2 linked regions of the Canis lupus familiaris genome follow. The protein of the gene in region 2 binds, or shares a complex with, the protein of the main gene of each other region. Links are inferred from orthologs where the notes say so. Each region holds a gene or a part of one and is shown on either strand. Other genes may lie near its edges.

Region 1 (3,652 bases), on a different chromosome or scaffold from region 2:
TAATATGGGGCAGTACTTAAAATACTGCCTGGCATAGATGAAGCACTGAACAAGCCCTTACTATTACAGTAATACTTATCACACTGTTGTGTACTTATTTTCCCATTGGCTTTTCTCAGGAAAATATTAGCCCTTGAATGCAGACATGGAGCCTTTCATCTGTGTTTCTGGAATACATTATGCTTTAAGAATTGCTTTCTATATGAGTGGATGAGTTTGTGAATGGGAAAAAATAGCATTAGGCTATAGTACTACTATGAAATGAATCAGCAGGTTCTTCTTCAGTTGGTTTACTCAGAAGCTATTCTCTGTGGGTGAATGTAATTCATCTGATACTTCACTCACCAAACCAAGAAGTCCTGGGTTGCTTTTCCTATATTATATATGGGTCACTGTTCAATGAAAGTAATGTCATTACCTTTGGATCAGGTAGACATGGTCCAAAAGCTTCCAGTAGAAGAGTCTCTTCTCTCACAGCCTGTTCATAGTCTGTGAAAGACAGCTTCCCATCATGGTCATGGTCCTAGGAGTTGACCAGCCATGTATCAGTCAACATGTACAACACTTATCACAAACAAACCTGTCTTTTCATGGTCAAGTGTTGACAGAAGAAAGACGTTGGAAAAATGAGAAACTAATGAAATTGAAAAGAATTTTTAATCTTATAATTAAAAAACACAATATAAGTGTTTTATTTCACCAAACAAGTAACTGATAGTTACTACAAGTTGAATTCTTAATTCTATCCCATTCTGGCCTATGAATGTCAATATAAAACCCTACATTTCCCATATTTACCATTTTTTTAAGTGTTATTTCAACCAAATCTTTAATTCCTTCATCAGGGTCTTCTTCAGATGGCTGTTTGAGAAGGCTGTTCTTCAACATATGGAACATTTCCTCCTTTGAAATGAATCCATCACCATTCAAATCAAACACTTCAAAGCAATCTTTTAAAAAAAATAACCAATTATGAATTTGATACTATGACTAAGGGAACATTTGCTCTGATAAAATTTTCAAGGCCAAAGTCTGTATTGTGGATGTCCGTGTCAACCCTGCAGGACTTAGTGCAATCTAATTTCCATGGCCAATGTTTAATGTCTATTTGTTGAATATAGTCAACAACCCTTAGAAAATGGCTCCTTACGCTCACTCAGCTATGAATAAGAAAGCCAAGGAACAATGATTTGACCATTTCATCTTAAAATTCTTAGAAAACTGACTGAAATATGATCCTTACACAGAGTTCATCAGAATGAATTAAGAATTAACTAAGAATCAGAGCACTTGAATCAGTATTCTCTACTTCCATGGTTAACAATGCAGGTAATGAAATATGTAAAATATTTAATACCTTAATACATAAATGCATATGTCATAGTATATATAGTTAATGCTTATGCAGTCTTGCTTCACATGAATTACTCCTCAGAATCTCTTGATTTTCCTTTGTATTTATTTCTTTCAATCTTTATAACTGACTTGAATTTGCTCCATAGAAGAGGCTAATGGGGATTCAAACCAACCAACCGAAAGACAAACCTATTTCAATGGCCACATTGGAAGACAATGGACATAAGTTCTTTAGATACATTAATCCTAATGTAAAAAGTTCAGGACAACCTGAAATCTTACATTTCATTTTTTCTTCCAAAGTTCCTCGAAGAAATACTGATAATCCATAAATCCACTCTGATACGTTTACATAACCATCGTTGTCCTCATCAAAACCTCGGAATACTAAGAAAGAAGCACAACATAATACTTGTGCTGAATTTTTGTTCTCAGTAATATATTTACACTGGTTCTATTCACTTTTAAAATTTGGACAAAACTCCAGGATAAGATGGTCCACCATTCTCTTTTGACAAAGGAGGAAAACTAAGACATTATAACATTGGAAAGCTCTTTTATTTAAACTCTCACACTTTCTCTTCATATTTTGTAGAAACAAAGTAAGTTCTGAGTAATCAATGATTACTAATATGTGGATATATTGTATATTAAATGTGTTGAGGGATCCCTGGTGGCGCAGCGGTTTGGCGCCTGCCTTTGGCCCAGGGCGTGATCCTGGAGACCCGGGATCGAATCCCACATCGGGCTCCTGGTGCATGGAGCCTGCTTCTCCCTCTGCCTGTGTCTCTGCCTCTCCCTCTCTCTCTCTGTAACTATCATAAATAAATAAAAATTAAAAAAAAAAAAGAAAAAAAATAAATGTGTTGATATGTTGACATAAAATATGTAATTTTATATTTTTCTTACTCAAGAAAATTAATGCTATTACATGATAAAGTTATAACTTAAATTTACTGAAATATTTTTGATGACATAAGGAAATCTATATGTCCTTTTAAAACCATTGTTTTCATTATTATATTTACGAAGTAGAAATAGAAATATTTTAGGTTTTTGGGTATAAAGTAAGGAAAATCTAATTATTCAAGCTGGACTTTGTCCTCTTCCTGAATACACAGAATAGAGTGGGTAGAGTCACCTTCACTATGACGCTTCCCTAACATACAAATTGATTTTTTATATTCAAGTGAAATTGGGAATTAAGAACATTAAGCTTCCTATCAAGAATATGTCTAAACTCCAAGATTTTTTTTCCCAGTTATGGCTGGATCTGGCCTATTTGAATATTGTATGTCTTCTTACCTCTGTCCATAATCATATCGTCTGTCATTCCAAATGTCATGTGCAGGATGTTTCGAAATGCATTGCGATCTAGTCCAATGGTGATACCTTGCCGCTCTGTTACTTCTCCCATCAAATTATAAAAAAGATCTATAAGACATTTCACTTCAAATTTATTAACTGTGAAGAAATAAGATATAACAAAAATGCATTTTAAACCTTTATTTCTAACTTAAATTTTGCATTATTGAGTTTATAGACAACATCAAGGACATCAAATATTAGTTTTCAACAGAAGACTATCCTGTTTTAAGATTCGTGACCCTTAAATTAATAAAATTAACTAAATTAATAAAGGATGGCCACTACAGAGGTTTCTCTTCTAAAATATTCTCTTTCTCTAGAGCATTTCCTCCAAAGAGGAGTTGAATATTAAATTCAGTCACATTTAGGAAGAAAAGAATAATAGCCAAGTTACCTGAATAACGATTATGAGGTCAGATGCTAAACTTTAAAGGCAGTAGAGGTGCAATCCAAAGTAAGCAAGGTAACGCTTAAGAATGGTAACTTTGCTTATAGGCGTTTATGATATTTACAACTACGCTTTTGCCTGGAGATAGATACCAGACTCCTGAACACTAGGCAACAATTTTAACTTCACATCAGCCTTAGTTAAATCAGTAAGCCAGATTTTGGACATCAGAAACCTATTTTCCAATAAAGAAGCATTTAACCATATTCCAGCACCCATTATGGTTCTTATTGCACCTGATGTGAATATTAACATGTAGGTATTTAGTATTTTGGAGGAAGGGAATTTTTATTGAAAATAAATATACGGACATATATTCTGGCCCATACACATAAATGCACAGAGTGTTTATAAACGCTGAGTTAAAAAAAAACAAAAACAAAAACAAAACAAAACAAAAAAACCGCTGAGTTAATTATTTGTGCTCCAATTCCCATTTGAGGTACATAGGTGGAAGTGTTATTGCCTGCCATAAAAGTG
Region 2 (3,652 bases):
ACACACACACACACACACACACACACACACACAGAGGCAGAGACACAGGCAGAGGGAGAAGCAGGCTCCAAGCAGGGAGCCCGACACGGGACTCGACCCCCGGTCTCCAGGATCACGCCCTGGGCTGAAGGCAGGCACTAAACCACTGTGCCACCGGCGCTGCCCCCTATTTATTTTTTTTAAATAAGGATTTTATTTATTCATGAGAGACACAGAGAGAGAGGCAGAGGCATAGGCAGAGGGAAAAGCAGGCTCCCTGCGTGGAGTGAGGAGCCTGATGTGGGACTCGATCCCAGGACCCTGGATCACAACCCAAGCCAAAGGCAGACACTCAACCACTGCGCCACCCAGGCGTCCTGACATCCATATTTTGAAACTGTTCATTCAAATTGCCCAAACATGCTGTGAAGGCCAAGAGAGATACCAAAGGGCTGGATGTGACTCACAGGCCAGCAGCTGGAATCTAGCCCCCACACTGGCACAAGCTGAACCCAGAGAGGAAGTGGCAGCTGTCCGAGCTCACTCACCCACCCACCTAGTTAGTGCTGGAGCTGGGACCTAATCATTGACTGGCTGACTGACTGCCCAAGGTGTCTGCCAAAGGTTTCTGAGCCTGAGTCGAGCCCTGTGTTGAGCTCAGTGCTCAGCATGGAATCTGCTAAAGTTTCCTCCTCCCCTAAAATAAATAAATAAGTAATTTTTAAATATTTATTTATTTATTTTAGAGAGAGAGAGAGAGAAAGTGCACAGTGGAGAGGGGCAGCAGAAGAGGGAGAGAGAAACTTTAGCAAATTCTGTGCTGAAAGCAGAGCCTGACACAGGGCTCAATCTCAGGCCTCTGAGATCAGGACCTGAGCTGAAACCAAAAGTCGGACGCTTAAGGGACTGTACCACCCAAGTGCTCCAATAAATCAATCTTAAAAAAAAAGGAGCAGGGATCCCTGGGTGGCGCAGCGGTTTGGCGCCTGCCTTTGGCCCAGGGCGTGATCCTGGAGATCCGGGATCGAATCCCACGTCGGGCTCCCGGTACATGGAGCCTGCTTCTCCCTCTGCCTGTGTCTCTGCCTCTCTCTCTCTCACTGTGTGCCTATCATAAGTAAAAATAAAAAAATAAAAAAATAAAAAAAAAATAAATAAATAAAAAAAAAAAGGAGCAGACTGAGGACAACATCGACCCTGAGGGGTACATTGCATTTCCCTCTCAGCTTACTTGATGTCCTCCTAAGAACAGGAAAGGGTTCTAGGGAAAGCACCAGTGTTCACAGCTTCCCCCAGTTTAAACTTCCAATGGCTGTCTCTACTTGTGCTTTTAGGGAAGAATCTCTGATTTGTAAAGAGGCCCATGAAGCCCTGCGGATCTGGCTCCTCATCACCCTCCCCCATCCAGACCTTCAGGGCCCCCAGGGGCCTGGGCTGACACTGGCCTCCCTCAGCTTCTTAAATCCACCAAACTCCTCCCCACCTTCTACACACTGTTCCTTTGGCTGGAAAGCGCTGTCCTCAGCTTTTAGAATAGTTGGTGCCTTCTCATCCTTAAGGTTTCTTTCTTTCTTTTTTTTTTTTTTAAGATTGTATTTATTCATGAGAAACACAGAGAAAGAGAGGCAGAGACACAGGCAGAGGGAGAATTAGGCTCCCTACAGGGAGCCCGATGTGGGACTCAATCCCCAGACTCTGGGATCATGCCCTGAACCACTGAGCCAGCAGGGTGTTCCGCATCCTTAAGGTTTCTACTTCAAAGTGATTTCCTCAGACATGAAGGCAGGAAATGGTTACCAATGGTTATCCCCACTGAATGCCCCACTTGGTGCCTCAAAAGTGCCAAGGAAGTATTTGTGCTAAGAATAATGAATGATGATGCCCTTGACTCCAGTCCCTGCCACATCGCCTCCCTCCCTTGGGGTCCGCTGCACACTGGGGTCAGGGAACTGGACTCTAGTCCCAGCCTCACTGCTTACTAACCTGTGGCCTCAGCAGTTTCCTTTTTTACTTTGTATTATGAAATATTTCAAATATACACAAATGTAGATGGAGTATAGCAAGCCCCTACTACTCATCATCCACCTTCAACAATTATCAAAATATCACCAACTCTGTTTCATCTATTCCTGCTCACCCCTATCCCTTGCTGGGTTATTTTTTACAACTTTATTGAGAAAAAATTAGATATTATAACATGCACCATTTGTAAGTATACAATTCAGTGATTTTTAGTAACTTTATGGAGTTGTGCCATGATCCCCACAACCCAGTTTCAGAACATTTCCATCGTTTTGAAAAGGTCCCTCGTGTGACCTGGGGCAATCAGCTGAACCTCTCAGTGCCTTAGTTTCCTCACCTGCAAAATGAGGACAATCATACCTTCATCCTTAGCTCACATGGTAAGTAGGTGTAAGAGTGCACATGGGAAGGGTACCAAGGCCAGAGGAAATGAGCATTGTTTTGATGATGACACAATGCTGTGCAGATCTGCAGCTGGGCTCCTCAGCAGCAGCTTCTGGGGTGTCCCAGGCTCTCGCTGAGCTTAGCTTAAAGAAGGTGTTTACCACACACTGGTTAAAATGGAAGGGTTGATCCTCCACTCTCAGAGTCCAAATTCAGCTGGTGGGGGATGCACTGGGAGGGTAAAGGGTTCCCAGCCCTGGCATGTCAACTCGGCCTAAGAGCTGGGAAAGCAAGGGTAATCCTTCCAGAGCCCCTACCTTGTGCCTGTGCCACCAGAACGCTGGCGTTCAGCTGCCACTCGATGTCCCCTTCTTCCTCAGCACACTGCTGGGACTTCTCACCATAATGCTGGGCCTGCCAGGCCTGGTCCAGCTCCAAGTAGCAGCGGCCGATCTCATGGAACAACCAGGTCTTCTCCAGGGTGGTTTTTGCCAGAGGGATCTTCTCCTCCCACCTGGGAACATGAAAAACCAGGGTCAGTTCTTTCCACGCAAACTGTTTACTCGGCCACAGTGGGCCGAGGATTCTTAGCCAGTGGTGGAATAGAACCTGTTCTCCAACTACCGGTTCTTTCAGAACGGGGGCAGAGCCAATAAGCATTCAGATATTTTAAAACTACCAAAGCCATTTTGGTACATTTACAGATGGAATCTGATACCACAATTGAAAATAATGTTTATAAACTTGCATTTCAAATAACATAAAAATAACATTGAAGAGTATTATTAAGTATATAGGAGATAAAAGCCACACAGGAAAGATGAGAATGGGAAAAAATGAGACATCAATAAAGTGAGATTAGAGTTAGATCTAGTCTTTAAGTGGTGAAACTGAATAATTTTTCTGCTACTCTTCTGCATTTTCCAAATTAATATTCTAATAATAGGCATAAGTTTCTTATATTTTCTTACAAAAAGAAATGAACGGGTAAGTGAATTCTTAAACTCATCTGTCTTTTGGCACATAGACACCAGGGGCCATCCTGAAAACCAAGTTATGTGGAACAGAAGGATCCCCATAAATGAGCCTAATCTGATCCAGCGCTGGGCACCCGGAGGACATTTGTTCTCGGTGCTATGTGAGTGGGCCCGCGGAGCCAGCCCTCCCAGTGCAGGCTTGGCCAGGTCAGGTCCTGCCCTGAGTCTCTCAGGGGCTGAGTTGTGCCACTGGAGCTGGTCACCAGCCCCAAGGTTGGATATCAAAAGTT

The links. The genes of interacting proteins can lie anywhere in the genome.
Region 1: ODAD4 (region 2) and EFCAB1 share a complex: the UniProt entries of both Homo sapiens proteins name them as parts of the outer dynein arm-docking complex. The link is inferred for Canis lupus familiaris from reciprocal best matches to the Homo sapiens genes ODAD4 and CLXN.

Annotation. Positions count from the first base shown.
Region 1 is NC_049250.1:1,219,582-1,223,233, forward strand, and holds part of EFCAB1 (EF-hand calcium-binding domain-containing protein 1), read right to left. Parts: intron 2,821-3,652; coding exon 2,662-2,820; intron 1,744-2,661; coding exon 1,639-1,743; intron 951-1,638; coding exon 799-950; intron 524-798; coding exon 419-523; intron 1-418. UniProt on the Homo sapiens protein: Component of the outer dynein arm-docking complex (ODA-DC) that mediates outer dynein arms (ODA) binding onto the doublet microtubule. Seems to regulate the assembly of both ODAs and their axonemal docking complex onto ciliary microtubules.
Region 2 is NC_049230.1:20,778,377-20,782,028, forward strand, and holds part of ODAD4 (tetratricopeptide repeat protein 25), read right to left. Parts: intron 2,900-3,652; coding exon 2,703-2,899; intron 1-2,702. UniProt on the Homo sapiens protein: Component of the outer dynein arm-docking complex (ODA-DC) that mediates outer dynein arms (ODA) binding onto the doublet microtubule. Plays an essential role for the assembly of ODA-DC and for the docking of ODA in ciliary axoneme.